2 linked regions of the Stegostoma tigrinum genome follow. Each later gene encodes a partner of the first gene's protein in a complex. Links are inferred from orthologs where the notes say so. Each region holds a gene or a part of one and is shown in the gene's direction. Other genes may lie near its edges.

Region 1 (8,028 bases):
CCTAAAGTGCAGAGCCGAGAACTGAACAGAATACTCTAGGTGTGGTCCAACCAAGGTTTCGACAAATATTTGGGTTAATTCGATCACTTTGTATTTAAAAGGCAGCATGGAACATTGTTATAATACTAGTTGATCGTGTACTGGAAATGTCAGATCCCAGAATGAGTCAGCTCCCAGAATGATACTTGATTTGAAAGACCATAAATTTTACTTCTCCTTTTATTTGCCGTGGAGATTAGTCATCGAGGCATACAGCATGGAAACTTACACGTCAGTCCAACTTGTCAACGCTAACCATGTCCCCAATCTAAAATAGTCCCACTTGCCTATGTTTGGCTGATAATCCCTTGAAACTTGCCTGTTCACGTACTTATCTAAATGTCTTTTAAATATTATAACTCTACCTGCATCCACTATTTCCTCTGGCCATTCCACACACAAACCACTCTCCATGTAAAAATGCTGCTCCTCATGTCTTTTTTTAAACTTTCTCCTCTCACCTTAAAAATATGCCTCTGAGTTTTGAATTACTCCACCCTCAGGAAATGACCCTTGCTATTCACCTTACCTATGCCTCTCACGATTTTATAAACCTCTATAACATCACCCATCAACCTCCTGCACTCACATGGAAAAAGTCCCAACCTAGCCAGCCCTTTATTTTTTATCAGTGAAACCCTTCATTTCTGGCAACATCCTGGTAAATCTTTCCTAAACACCCTCTGATTGCCTAATATCTTTCCTATAGGAGGATGACCAGGACTGTAAATTGTACACCAGAAGAGGCCTTACCCACATCCTGTACAACCTCAACATGATGTCCCAACTCCTATACTCAAAGGTCTGAGCAGTGAAGGCAAGCATGCTAAATGCTTTCTTAGCTACCCTGTCTACCCGTGATGCAAATTTCAAAGAATGATATACCTGCACTCCTAGGTCTCTCTGTTCTGCAACACTACTCCGGGCCCTACCATTAATTGTATAAGTCCTTTCCTTGTTGTTTTACCAAAATGTAACACCTCACGTTTATCCAAATTAAACTCCATCTTCCACTCCTCATCCCAAGACTCAATTGATCAAGATCTCTTTGTAATCTTTAATAACTTTCTTCACTGTCCACAATACCATCAATTTTGGTGCCATTCGCAAACTTACTAACTATGCTTCCCGTATTCTTATCCAAATTGCTTATATAAATGATGAACAAACCAGCTATTAGGGGTAGCACAGTGGTTCAGTGGTTAGCACTGCTGCCTCACAGCATCAGGGTCCCAGGTTCAATTCTAACCTCAGGCAACTGTCTGTGTGACGTTTGCACATTCTCCCCATATTAGTCTGGGTTTCCTCCCACAGTCCAAAGATGTGCAGGCTAGATGGACTGGCCATGCTAAATTGCCCATAGTGTTCAGGGGTGTTTATTTAGGAGGGTGGGTTGAATGGGATGCTCTGAGAGTCAGTGTGGGCTTGTTGGGCTGAAGGGACTGAATTATAAGTGTTAACTCACAGGGACTTGGGAAAAAAAACCTGACAGTGTTTCCTTATTCCAACCATCGGCCACATCCAGCTTTCCTGCTCCTCTGATGCTGCTTGGCCTGCTGTGTTCATCCAGCTCTGCACCTCGTTATCTCAGATTCTCCAGCATTTGCAGTTCCTACTATCTAGGAATAGGGTACTGAGTTGGATGATCAGCATAATCATAGTGATTGGTGGAGCAGGCTCAAAGGATCAAATGGCCCACTCCTATTCCTGTATTCTATGTTTCCATGCAAACGTTTCATTATTCACCGGGTATCTGATGAAGGCGTTTAACTCAAACCACATGATTTGCTTGAACTGATGTGTTTCGTTCACTGGTCCAAATGACTTAGTGACTTCTTTTAAAATAAGTAACTTAACAGAACTGAAAACACAAATCTATTTTATCATAAGTGACCATACAAAAATGGTCAGTTTCAGAGTAAAGTGATAAGATATACTATCACACACTGCTTTCGAAAGTTTCAGAAAGCTTTTATCTTTAGACAGTGAGTATTTGAGCCAGAATTTGTCTGTCAATGGAAAACATGTAACTGGAAATATTAATCTGAAGATGTCAGATGAATCCTTACTGCCTTCCTTCAACTCACATGAGAAGGTTCAAAGTTAATCAGATTCTCAAAATGTTGCTTATTTTCATCTTAAGTTTACTTGATGAAATTACGTCCACATGGCAGCATTTATACCTTTGCGGTACACCACTGAATAACTTTGTCAAAACCTCGTCTCAGTCAGCAAAGCCAGACACAATTAATTGTCATAAAATTAAACAATAAAAAAGATAAAGTTGCCATAGTCACAGCAGATCATACGGTTACTTTCTCACAAGAGAGAGATGATTGGTGATGGTTTAACCTGATTCTCACCATGCCTAAATATTGTCTAAACCTTGTCTGTTTTAAGCAGAACAATCGCATCCCCACCCTTGTCTGCCTTCCGGAGGGACCAATCTCTCCGTGACTCCCTTGTCCGCTCCACACTGCCCTCCAACCCCACCACACCCGGCACTTTCCGTGCAACCGCAGGAAATGCTACACTTGCCGCCACACCTCCTCCCTCACCCCCATCCCAGGCACCAAGAAGACATTCCACATCAAGCAGATGTTCACCTGCACATCCGCCAATGTGGTGTATTGTATCCCCTGTACCCGGTGTGGCTTCCACTACATTGGAGAAACCAAGCAGAGGGTTGGGGACCGCTTTGCAGAACACCTCCGCTCGGTTCGCATTAAACAACTGCACCTCCCAGTGGCGAACCACTTTAACTCTACCTCCCATTCCTTAGTTGACATGTTCATCCTGGGCCTCCTGCAGTTCCATAATGATGCCACCCGTAGGTTGCAGGAACAGCAACTCATATTCCGCTTGGGAACCCTGCAGCCCAATGGTATCAATGTGGATTTCACAAGCTTCAAAATCTCCCCTCCTTGCACTGCATCCCAAAACCAGCCCAGCTCGTCCCCGCCTCCCTAACCTGTCCTTTCTCTCATCTATCCCTTCCTCTCACCTCAAGCCACACCTCCATTTCCTACCTACTAGCCTCATTCCGCCCCTTTGACCTGTCTGTCCTCCCCGGACTGACCTATCTCCTCCCTACCTCCCCACCTATACTCTCCTCTCCACCTATCTTATCCTCTATCCATCTTCGGTCCGCCTCCCCCCTCCCTATTTTTTTCGGAATCCTCTCCCCATCCCCTTTTTCTAATGAAGGGTCTAGGCCCGAAACATCAGCTTTTGTGCTCCTAAGATGCTGCTTGGCCTGCTGTGTTCATCCAGCTCCACACCTTATTATCTCAGATTCTCCAGCATCTGCAGTTCCCATTATCTCTGAGAACAATCATCTCGCTGGTTTACCACAAAACTGAGGTTGATCATCCCTGCACTTACACTGTTCCTTCCTGATTTTGTCAGGTGTCCATTAAGCTAATTGAGATTTTTGACCTGGATACAATGCACCATTCCAATAATGATAAAACATTTCTCGTCATTTAATTTAAACTTATTACTTGTTAGGTGCTGTAATGGCAATCCTCTTCGAGCTTTGTCTTTGGACATTCTTTCCTCTCTTTATAATTGTCACTGCTCCACTCACTCCTGCTTCTATTCACCTGAGCCTCATTCTCGTCTGTCCTTTTTTGATGCTTGCGACATTGTGCTGAGCAGCCAAAGCAGCCCTGTTTCTTGCAGAGTATTTCTGGTCTCTTTCTTTGTTTGGTGATTAGGATTGTATTTGTTTGGGTCCAAAAGATTACAGAATTGAAAGAGGTCTTTCAGCCCATCATGTCCATGGTGGCTTTTGAAGCCAAAATTCATCTGCCAATCCTCTGTCTTGCATGTTATTTTTCAGACATAATCAAATTCCATCTTGAGTAACTTAATTGAATCTTTCTCCACCACAATCTAAGGTAATGCTTTCCAAATCGTAATCACGCGAAAAACTTTCCTCATGTTGCCATTTCTTCTTTTGTCAAATACCTAAAATCTCTTTCGTTGTTGAATATCTAAATAATACATTCCCTCTCGATTTTCTCTTCAAGGAGTCCCAACTTCCCCAATCTGACACCAGAACAAGAACTCTTACAAACAAGATCTGAAGTAGAAGCCTGATGTGCAGAGATTTGTCCATTGTTTGCCCTGCCCTCACCTACGAATTGATAAATTCTGCTGACGTTGGAACAGTCTACTATTACAGCAATGTGATTTTTTGGAAATAAACTGGTAGATACTGGCAGAAACAAAATAACTCGGTTAACAGGTCACAATTGTTCATCCAGCTCCACACTTTTGTAATCTACAATTGTTTTTGAGTCTTGTCGAATCTTGTTGAACAGTAGGAATGGAGAACAGGTAACAGTCAAGCAAAACACCCAAACACATACCACCACTGCGAACATCTCAGCACAGTGGCGCTCAAGGCGAGCATTCTCAATTTACCACGTCTGTTGCGGATGTTGTCAGCCGATACTGTCATATCGGTGCACAACAGGGATAATGATTATTATGTAAATAGCTGGGCATGCTTAAAGTTTGCAATGCTAATAATATAGCTTTGTTTCCTTTGTCTGTATTGCATTTAACACCTCAGAGGAAAAAATGGAGGTGAAAATATTCAGACTGGGTAGAGGATAAATGTTTAATTGAAGAGTAAGATCTTCAGACACTGTCAACGATTCATCATTGCCACCAGTACGAGATGAATCCACAGAACACACAGCACTGACACACCGCTCTCTGCTTCCGGGAAGGACCAGGCCCGGGCGGCGGGGCACGCAGGTCTGCGTCGGACGTCCTGTGCAACGTGATGACGTAGTTTGTTGTTGTTGGTGCCCTGCTCCGTTCCTGACATGGCGGCTCGCTGGAGCAGTGAGAATGTGGTGGTGGAGGTCAGGGACTCGCAGGTAACAACTTTGACCGGCAGCCGCGCCGCTGCCCGGGGCTCGGGGACCGATTTTGGCTCGCGCTGTCGTCGACTGGTTGCCGGAGTCTGAGGATTTGTCTTTGGCGGGGGCCTAAGCAACGTGAGCGCGCCTGCGCAGGACCAACGCGCATCCTCCCCTGACTATAATCCTCTTACCTTAAAATAGAAACAGAAGGTGTTGGAGAAACTTCGCAGGCTTGGCACCATGTGTGGAGAGAGAGAGAGAGAGAGAAACAATTCATGTTTCGTGTCAAAATGACTCTCTGGCCTTCTCTCATCGCCACTTAATTTCAAACTGTTCAAATAGTGCCTAGTGCACTTCTACTTTAGTTAAGATCTGAAACCTGGCTATTGAAGCTATTCTTGTTCGCGGTCCATTGATTAAAAATATCTGTAAATGTATTCAGACAGGTTTTGACACGAGGCTGGTTTCGTTAGAGAGAAGAAGGTTGAGAGGTGACTTAATTGAAACATATAAAATAATCAGAGGGTTAGCTAGGGTGGATAGGGAGAGCCTTCTTCCTAGGATGGTGACGGCGAGCACGAGGGGGCATAGCTTTAAATTGAGGGGTGAAAGATATAGGACAGATGTCAGAGCTAGTTTCTTTACTCAGAGAGTAATAAGGGAATGGAACGCTTTGCCTGCAACGGTAGTAGATTTGTCAACTTTAGGTACATTTAAGTCATCATTGGACAAGCATATGGACGTACATGGAATAGTATAGGTTAGATGGGCTTGAGATCGGTATGACAGGTCGGCACAACGTCGAAGGCCGAAGGGCCTGTACTGTGCTGTAATGCTCTATGTTCTATCTCTGGAGCCTGTGGGAATTAACTCAGGTCTTTTGGCCCATAGTTACGACACTACTACTCCGCCACAGGAGCTCTTACTAACCCCATTAAGTACTGAAGGACTTGTTCCGTTGCTGACTTGTTCCAGTAGGCAACCTCTTGTGCTCATGTTTCCAACATTGTTTGGAAGATAAGGAGGATTGATCTGTGACTTCGTTGTGCATACTGTTTGAGAAAATGTTATGGAGTGTGCAAGCTGTTTCAGTAAGGGGCCAGATAAGGGAGGACGCAGAAAATTTAAAAAAAAGGTTAATAGGCTGAGAGCACAGAATGGTTATAGCACCAAAAGAGACCACTTTTGTGCCCATGCCAGCTGCAAGAGCAACTGATCCAGTCCCACTCCCTTGCCTTTTCACTGTAGCCCTGTATTTTTTTTCTTGGGGGAAATGTACAGTTCCCTTTGAAAGCCATGATGGAATCTGCTTCCAGTGCATTCCAGATCCTAACCACTCGCTGCATAAAGTGGTTTTCTTTCAATGCACTTTGGTTTTTCAGAAATTAAAAGTGATGATGAGTCAGAGAGCAATGAGAAAAAAGGAATGTAATGACACTATATGATTTTAAAATTCTCCATCAACTCCTGTCTCAAACTTCTCTTCCTAAAGGTGAAAGAACACAACTTCTCCATCTATCCACAAATCTGAACTTGAACCCTGGAAATATATTTGTACACCATCTGGAATACCATAATGTCCTTTCTAAAGGGTTACAGTTAAGAAACAATGGAGATGTCCTTACCAGACTAGACATATTCTGTAGGCCACCAACTTGTGGAAAAGATAGAAAGGAGCAGATTTACAAGGGAGTCAGAGAGATATAAGAATTAGACAGTTGTTATGATGAGGGGCTTGAATTATCTAAATACAAGTTAGCATAAGAGTGTAAAAGGAAGTGAGGGGCAAGAGTCTTAAATGTTCAGGAATGTTTTGATGAGACTTATGGCTCTGGTCCGTGGAGGAAAGAAGCACTGTTCGGCCTCGTAGTTCTTGGAAATAAAGTAAGCCAAATGGATCAAGTTGGGGAATATTTTGAGGGCAGTGATCATTGTATCATAAGATTTAGGGTGGCTATGGAGAAGAACAAGGAAGAAACCAGAGTAAGAATCGATAACCAGAGGAAAAACAATTTTCATGGATTTAGAATGGAGCAAAGGTATGCGGACAATCCTGTTACTGAATCAGGGGCTCCCTTTAAAGAAAAGCGAACACCAACAAGGTAGATTCTTATGAAGGGGAAAAGTTAAAACAAACAAATCTAAAGCGCCCAGATGAAGGATTAAGAGGAAAAAGAAGTGTGGTCTTGATAAGTGTCAGGTGGTTAAAGAATTAACAATTAGGCTGAAATTAGAAAGTTTAGAGGAGAAATCCAGAAGCAAATCAAAAGTAATCTAAAAGACACAAAGATAGAAGTTGCTGGAAAAGCTCAGCAGGTCTGGCAGCATCTGTGAAGAATGCTGCCAGACTTTTGCTAAACTTTTCCAGCAATTTCTGTTTTTGTTCCTGATTTACAGCATCCACAGTTCTTTCGGTAATCCAAAAGACCTCTAGGCCTATTTATAGATAGAAGTTTGGTGAAATGAGTGATTAGTTGATTAGGATTTAGAGGGCACTGATTTAATGTAATTAGCAAAAGCAGCAATGGCAAAACAAGGAAAATCTTTTTAATGTGGTTAGGATCTGGAATTCTTCCCAGAAAGTGTAATGGGGTCAGGTTTGATCAAGGCATTCAAGAGGAAAACAGAATACTATCAGCAAAGGAGGTACATGCAGCACTATGGAAAGATGGCTGGGAAGTGGGACAATCTGTATTCTCCCATCAAACAGCCAGCGCAGAGGGCCAAATGGTCTTATTCAATCACCATTTTGATTATGGTCATTGGAGAAACAGGTATTCTCCTTTTGAGAAGATAAGGTTGGAGAGTTTCGGCTATGAAGAGAGGTTAGATAAACTGGATAAATTGTTTTCTGCTGGATTTATGGGGAAATACCTCATTGGGGTCAAAAAATTATTAGGGGCATAGATAAGAAGAAACCTTTCCCACGGGAGGGAACAATAACTAGGGGTCATAGCTCTAAGGTAAAGGGCAGAACTTCTAGAAAGGATTTAAGAAAGCATTTTTTTCACCCAATGGATGTGGGCGTCTGAAACACTGTAATATTACATTACATTGCTGATTTGTGCCTTGTAAATGGTGGAAAGGACATCATATCTTGGATATTGAC
Region 2 (7,785 bases), on another chromosome or scaffold:
GGGGAGTTGCATACCTGGCAATGGAGCATCTTACAGTTGTACAGAGGGAGGATACATCAGGAGATTCGGGGATATGGGTAGAACTCAGGAATAGGAAAGGTGAAATCACAATGCTGGGAGTAAACTACAGGCCTCCCTACAGCCAGCTGGGAGATATAGGAGAGAATATGCAAATAGATTTTGGAAAGATGTAAAAACAGCAGGGTTATTGTGGTGGTTGAATTTAACTTCCCCTATATTGACCAGGACTTACTATGTGCTGGGGGCTTGGATGGGGCAAAATTTTTAAGGACTATTCGGGAGGGATTCTTAACACAATATGTAAATGGTCCAAACAGGGAAAGGGTTATACTGGACCTGTTTTTGGGAAATGAGCTGGCCATGTGAGTGACGTTTCAGTGGTGGTTCATTTCAGTGGTGGAGTAGACACCATAATGCCGTGATCTTCAAGATACTCATGAATAGGAATAACAGCAGTCCTCGGATGAAGGTGTTGAATTGGGTTAAGGTGAACTGCAACAATATTAGGCAGGAACGGAAGAATTTGGGAGTATTTCAAAAAGCAGATGATTAGAGCTCAGGAGCGGCATGTTCCAGCGAGAATGAAGGATAGGTATGGCAAGTTACATGAACTTTGGATGACCAAGGATATTATGATTTTGGTCAAAAAGGAAAAGGAAGCATACCTAAGGCCTTGGAGGATGGGAATTGACAAAGCCCTTGAAGTATATAAGAAAGGTAGGAAAAAAACTTAAACAAGTAATTAGAAGGGCTGAAAGGAGCCACAAAAAGTCTTCAGCAAACAGGATTAAGGAGAATCCCAAGTTATTTTATATTTATATATTAAAAACAAGAAGGGTAGCCGGGGAAAGGATCACACCACTCAAAGACAAAAGAGGGAATCTATGTGTGGAGCCAGAAGAGATAGGTAAGGTTCTAAATGGAAACTTTCTGTCAGTATTCACCAAAGAGAAAGAATTGGTGGAGGATGATCTCAAGGAAGGGAGTGTCCTGTTTCTAAACCAACTTGTTATCAAAATTGAAGAGTGCTGTGCATCTTACAGTATTATGGTAGATAAGTCCCTAGGTCCTGATGAAGTCTATCCCAGAATATTGAGGAAGGCAAGAGAACAAATTGCTGGAGCATTGATAGATATATCTGTATCCTCTTTGGCCACAGGTGAAGTCCCAGAGATCTACAGAATAGCCAATGTGCAGATAATACAAAGATTGGTGCAGATAGTGAGGATACAGCAGGATATGGATCAGCTGGAGGCATAGGCAGAAAAGTGGCAGATAGAGTTTAATCCTGACAAATGTGGGGTGGATGCATTTTGGAAGGTTAAGTACAGTTGGAAATTATACAGTGAATGGCAGGACCCTTAGGAGTATTGATATGCAGAGGGATCTGGGTGTGCAGGTCCACAGATCCCTGAAGGCAGCAGCACAGTTAGATAAGGAAATAAAAAAAAGACTTATGGCATGCTTGCCTTCACTGGAAAGGGCACTGGGTATAAGGATAGACAAGTTATACTGTAGCTTCATAAAACTTTAATGAGGCCACACTAGGAATATTGCCTATAGTTCTAGTTATCACACTACCAAAAGGATGTGGATGCTTTGGAGACGGCTCAGAAAAAGTTTACCAGGATGTTGCCTGGTATGGGGGATTTTAGCTATGAAGAAAGGTTGGATAGACTGGGTTTGTCTTCACTTGAATGCAGGAGATCGAGAGGCAACCTAAAAGTAGTTTAGGCATGGCACGGAGATAATGAAAATTATGAGGCTTTTTCCCAGGACGGAGAAGTCAATTACTAGGGACACAGGCTCAAGGTGCACAGGGCAAGTTTAAAAGAGATGTGCAAGGCAGGTTTGTCACACAAAGGGTGTTGAGTGCCTGGAACATGTTGCCAGAGCAGGTGTTGGAAGCAGACACAATAGCAACATTCAAGAAGCACCTGGGTGAATATATGAATAGAAAGGGAAAACAGCGGTACGGATCCTGTAATTGAAGCCTGTTTTAGTATGGAAGGGCAAACATGGTAGCGCAGGGTTGGAGGACCAAAGGGCCTGTTCCTGTGCTGTATTGTTCTTTGTTGCTCCTTGTTCTACATTTTCAACGGGGCACAAGTGGTTATTGACTGATGAAGTTTTATTTTGGCTGTGGAATCTGGAACACAAACACTTTCTCAGGGTAAGGTGTTGATCATTTAGTATTGAAATGAAAATGCATTTCTTCACTTAAAGCATTGCATTACTTTATGATTCTCTAGTGTGGAGCATTGGGGATGCTCCATTTTGACAGGGGTATTTTTATGGCTGAGATATACAGCTTTTCAATCTCCAGTAATCAAGGATTATGTCGAGTGGTCTGTAAAAGTCCACTTGAGGCAGTTGATCAAGAGGACAGCAGAGCAGGGCTTCTGAGCCAGAGCTCATGCAGTTTGAATGCTTTTCTTTTCTTTTTTTTTGATTCTGTGTTCTGGTTTCTTTTTCTTCTCTGTTTCTTTACTTACCTCTTGTCCTGAACTCAGATGGCATTGGCAGTGGCAAGAGATCTCAGTGCAGACTGGTGGTCGAGGGCCGAAGGGCCTGTACTGTGCTGTAATGTTCTATGGTGGCAGTGAGTGAGCTCAGTGCGGACCTTGTAACAATGAGTGAGTGAGTGAGATATGACCAGGGCTCATGTGTTGATACTATGGCTTTAAGTATTGCACTTTGTCGTTTTTTTTAACAAATAAAGGTTGAAACAGATACTGAATGGTCTGCTCAGAGCCAATAAAGTAAACAGCTTGTGAGGGCTTTAATTTATTTTTAAAGTTGGCACAATAGAAACAGCCTAAATAGGTGGAGTCAAGCTCCCATAGAACCAGGATTTATTGTTTTAGCTTTCTGCAGTTGCTGGGGTCTTGAAGCTGGATGTGAAAGCTCTTATTCCTCTCTCTGTTAAAACTAAAAGCTGGGGTTCTCTTCCTACTGCTAGAATTGCATGTGAGGCAAAGCCTATTTTACTGAATTTGTCTTTGCCAAGAGTGTGTTAGTGGGATGTTACTACATTAGAACAGTTAATTAGTGGTAATTAATATACATAGATTATTTTGTTAAGCATTTTGATAAGCTAACTCTTTTACTTTTATTTTGTCTGTATTTTAACTGTAGAATAAAAATAAAGTATGTTTTGCTTTAAGTCAAGTAGTTTGACCAATTGAATTGCATCTGGAACACAATGCCTTACACATGCCTTTAAAATAAGAAAAGGTTAAGGCTCAGGCTATCTTGTTATTACATTTTGAAAGGATTTCCTCTGGTCTATAACATTTGCATGAGCCTTCACTTATGTTTCTGGGGTGAGCACGGGATCTACCATTGGAATTGGCAGCTACTATATTGACTGAGGTGTTGGTGAGGTAGGCCCAGCAGCTAAAGATGGTGCCTGAGTGTCTGTATCTTCATGGTTGGTTGGATCCGTTGCTGGTGGCAGGGAAGTGGTAGTGGAAGGGCATCATGGCCACATTGATGAGATGGGCCCAGCAGCGAAAGACGCGACTCTGACATTGGTGGGTCTGTCGGAGTGGTGGCGGAGGAGAATAGACCCAGTGGTGAAAGATGGAGCCTGAAGAGTAGCATAGATGGCATCTCATAGGCGGTGGCGAGGTGGTGAAAGAGGGATGGCGGTACAGGCAATGTTAATGGTGAGCTGTCTAAGGACTGATGGAGTCTGTTTAAACTATATCTAATGTTTTTCTTATTCTTAAACTATTTATTAAGGCACTGGATCATGGTGACGGTAGAAAAGCTTTTCACTGTATTTTGCTGTTTTCTCACTGTAAAATACACAATTAAAATCATTAAAAATAGAAAAAACTGCGGATGCTGTAAATCAGGAATTAAAATCATTCATTCATTCATGTGGAATGGACGAACAGACTGGGGGCAATGGCATTATGCTCAGAGATAATGGGAACTCAGATGCTGGAGAATCCGAGATAACAAAGTGTGGAGCTGGATGAACACAGCAGGCCAAGCAGCATCTTAGGAGCACAAAAGCTGATGTTTCAGGCCTAGACCCTTTTTCTGATGAAGGGTCTAGGCCCAAAACGTCAGCTTTTGTGCTCCTTAGATACTGCTTGGCCTGCTGTGTTCATCCAGCTCCACACTTTATAGCAGCGGCACTACGCGTCTCCTTTTCGTATGTGTGTAAGACTGGTGAGATTTGTCTAAGTGAATATTTGCAGCATAATACAGGAATACAAATGTTAAAAATAGGTTTATTGACAAGTTCTTATATCTACAGCACATTGTATTTTTAGTAACAAATAGAATGTAGGAAATCTATCGGGATAGGTCACGAGTCACATATTCAGAATGGTATGATATGATATGAAATGATATTTCTTTCATGTAACGTCATGTGTAAATGTATCTGCAAATCGCTGGATCAATGATTCTTCACCAGCACCCAACTTTGCAGGATAACCCAAAAACCGGCTACAGCCACGTGCCTTTCTGCTCCCGTAGGTTCTTTGACGTCAGGGATCACGTGAATAAACACTGCGTTTTCTCTTCCCCCGCTGGAAGAGCTGCGCATGCGTTGTTGGGAACGATCCAGGGTGCCGGGGAGCTGTTGGGTGAGTCTCAGGGAATCGCCATGTGGACGGGTACTAGGCCCTGGCGAGGGAGGCGGTAGGAGCTGGTTTGAGTGTGGCCGTTGGGAACATTGTTAGTAATGGTGCCATTGACGGCCGGCCGAGTGCCGAGTTTGAAGCTTGTCGCCGGATATTGGGCTTTAGGCCTGTGTCTCCGTTGCTCGGGAATTTATCCGAGTGTGATATGAATGATGCGTGGGCAGGGTGGAGTGTCTGCCTTAGTCCTGTGTGAGCTCCTGCTAAATGAGTGGAATCGTGATTTTATTTCGGAGCACAGTGCAGTGCTGGAAACTCCTCGAACATTACAGGAGTGCGAGAGAGAGAGAGCGCAAGACTTTTTTAATAGCAAAAATATAACTTGTTTTTGTGAATAAAGTATAAGTACAAACACAGTTTAACATTCTGTTCTGTATAATTTTGCCAATGAAGAAACAAACAATGATACACTGGAATTATGTCCTACAGAGCTACTGTGCAGTTGAAAGTAACATTTTTACCTCTTGCAGGAAGAAAGTACTTACCTTTTAATGGATTAAAGGGGTCTACCAGCTTAACGGGCTTCTGTTTCAGTTTGCAGAAAGACATTAGACGGTGACCTTTTCTCACTGTGCCTTCTGGCAGCTGTCCCAAGGTGTGTTTAGTGTGTTCCTCAGCCTGTAATACTGCAGCTTGGATTGTTTCAGTCTTCAGTACTCAGTTCTTTGCATGAGAATACCAACATGTTTTAGGCAAACCAAAGAGTCTTTCACTGAGTTATGTTGATTGTGTCTTCCATGTGTAGTCAGTGCTTGCCTTGGTCTTTGACATGAGGGACTGTCTATAGAGAATGGGGTCTTGTATCTTGGAGTGCTCAGGATGAACCTTGATGAAAAAGAAATCCCTGCATTGCTGTCCAGGCCTCCTTTGCAAAGGCATCACAGAGATGTGTGACAGTTTATTCACCCCTTCTTCCCCCACTTTGTGCTGCCACTTCAAGGGCAGCATGTTGTAGTGTAGAGTGATAATGGGAACTGCAGATGCTGGAGAATCCAAGATAATAAAATGTGGGGCTGGATGAACACAGCAGGCCCAGCAGCATCTCAGGAGCACAAAAGCTGATGTTTCGGGCCTAGACCCTTCATCAGACTTACTTGAAGGATCTGATGGACAGTGCCCTCAAGCTATGTCTTGATACTTGTCTGACAATTATGCTTTTGAGGCATTCTACCAAGTGACTTTAACAGTCTGCTCAGGAAACCACCTGACAGGATGAACTGTCTCCTTTTTCAGCGGAGGATGTTACATGCTGACCACTGCCTAATGGACTTGTGGTCAATGGTGTTTTCCTTTGCAAATCCTTTCCTATGAGGGACAGGTGGTACTGAACGGTCCAACTCCTTCGAGCAATCCACATTAATAAGGCTAAGCTGATCCCTTGTAGCATTAGGGACAGTTAGAACCCCAGTATGTAGTGACACTTGGTGTTTGTGATCAAGGGTCTATGCACAGTATGATGGAGCCACACATGAAGGCGGCCATCAGGGTGTGGGAAGCGTTGGGTACCCAGACTTTGTAAATAGTGTCCCTGTGAACACAGTCCCTGCCCACCTGTCCTGTTCGTACGTGATTGACAGCATTGCATTCCTCAGGAATACAGGGATCATCCTGCCTGGTACAGTACTACAAGTTTGTTAAGGTGAATTGCCAAATCCAGAGCAGACCTGACTCGGCTGGTGATGACATTAGACACAGGATTTTATAATTTGCATGCAGCCGTGAAATGGGTTGCCTATTTCAAGTTCTCTCTCTCTTTCCCCCTTCCACTTGTAGATGAGGGTGATATATCTTAAGGACTCACATGTGCTATCTGCCAGAACCATATTGTCACACATCTCTAGCAAGTCCTCGACGATCCAGTCCCACAGCACTGAATAGGACTTGGCCAGTAACCTGTTGCTTTTGGGAGCTTTATTCTTTTCTAAGGTCTCGAGGGCCTAAGTGGACATATACAGCATTGAAACAGACCCTTTGGTCCAACTCATTTATGCAGACTAGGTATCTTAAATTAATCTAGTCCCATTTGCCAGTGTTTTGGCCCATGTCCTTCTAAATCCTTCCTATTTGTATACCCATCCGGATGCCTTTTAAATGTTGCAATTGTACCAGCCTCCACTGCGTCCACTGGCAGTTCATTTTCATTTACACACCACTGTCTGTGTGAAAATGCTTCCCCTAAGGGCCCTTTGAAATCTTTCCCCTCTCACTTAAACCTAAGCCCCCTAGTTTTGGACTCTTCCACCAAGTGGAAAAGACTTTGGCTGTTCACTCTATCCGAGCATCTCATGATTTTATAAACTTATGCTAGGCCACCTGGCAGCCTCTGTTGCTTGGGGGTAAAAATAGCCCCAGTCTATTAAGTCTCTCCCTGTAGCTCAAACCTGCCAACCATGGCAGCGTCCTCACAAATCTTTTCCACACAGCTTTTAAAGTTTAACAACATCAATGGACACCAGAATTGAATGCAGTGTTCCAAAAGTCTCCTAACCAATATCTTGTACAGCCACAACATGATCTCCCAACTCTGATACTGATTGCATTGACCAACAAAGGGAAACATGCCAAGCACCGCCTTCACTACCCTGTCAATGTGCGTTTGTGGAACTCTGAAGCTGCACTCCAAGGAGTCTTTGTTTGGCAACACTCCTCAGGACCTTATCATTAAGTGTAAAAGCCATGCCCACACCTCGCATTTATGTAGATTTAAACCCCATCAGATGAAGGTCCCATTGTACTGAGGTAACCCTCTTCACTGTACACTATTTTTAGTGTCGTGTGCAAATTATGAACCGTACCTTCTATATTCACATCCAAATCATTTATATAGGCCATCTCATCCAGAGATAGTGGCTGGTACTCGTGAAAGAGCAGACAGGTTTGTTAAATGTGTCTGTTGCAGTCTTAACGTTACTAGGGCATTGTGTTCCTCTTTCCCCAACAGTGGCCACACTTAGAAAATAATGAATTGGCTGTAAACCCCGTTGATCTGTTCTGTGATCATTTTTTTTCCCTAGTTTTGTGGAAAAAATAATGAGATCAGTAAACCTAAGATAACAAGGTGTGGAGCTGGATGAACACAGCAGGCCAAGCAGTATTGGAGGAG

What was found. The genes of interacting proteins can lie anywhere in the genome.
Region 2: the proteins of wdr59 (region 1) and mios are in contact, whole or in part, in a cryo-EM structure (PDB 7UHY), measured with the Homo sapiens proteins. The link is inferred for Stegostoma tigrinum from reciprocal best matches to the Homo sapiens genes WDR59 and MIOS. Residues at the interface, in NP_085058.3 of Homo sapiens: Tyr871, Arg876, Glu877, Arg879, Ala880, Glu881, Leu883, Lys884, Pro889, Pro890, His893, Lys894, Gly895, Ile896, Glu897, Phe898, Gly899, Val900, Tyr901, Arg906, Glu908, Val909, Arg910, Thr912, Phe922, Gln923, Ala925, Ile926, Cys927, His928; in NP_001357005.1 of Homo sapiens: Asp705, Trp710, His711, Arg713, Ala714, Ile718, Ser721, Lys728, Pro729, Leu730, Ala731, Gln732, Val733, Phe734, Val735, Ser736, Cys737, Asn738, Phe739, Ile744, Lys780, Pro781, Leu782, Pro783, Leu787, Cys788, Leu789, Gly793, Pro795, Gln819.

What each region holds. Positions count from the first base shown.
Region 1 is NC_081369.1:11,740,038-11,748,065, reverse strand, and holds the start of wdr59 (GATOR complex protein WDR59), read left to right. Parts: upstream 1-4,824; 5' UTR 4,825-4,880; coding exon 4,881-4,934; intron 4,935-8,028. Other genes in the region: mixed lineage kinase domain-like protein, read right to left, coding at 3,543-3,591. UniProt on the Homo sapiens protein: As a component of the GATOR2 complex, functions as an activator of the amino acid-sensing branch of the mTORC1 signaling pathway. The GATOR2 complex indirectly activates mTORC1 through the inhibition of the GATOR1 subcomplex.
Region 2 is NC_081355.1:82,165,405-82,173,189, reverse strand, and holds the start of mios (GATOR complex protein MIOS), read left to right. Parts: upstream 1-4,562; 5' UTR 4,563-4,628; intron 4,629-7,785. UniProt on the Homo sapiens protein: As a component of the GATOR2 complex, functions as an activator of the amino acid-sensing branch of the mTORC1 signaling pathway. The GATOR2 complex indirectly activates mTORC1 through the inhibition of the GATOR1 subcomplex.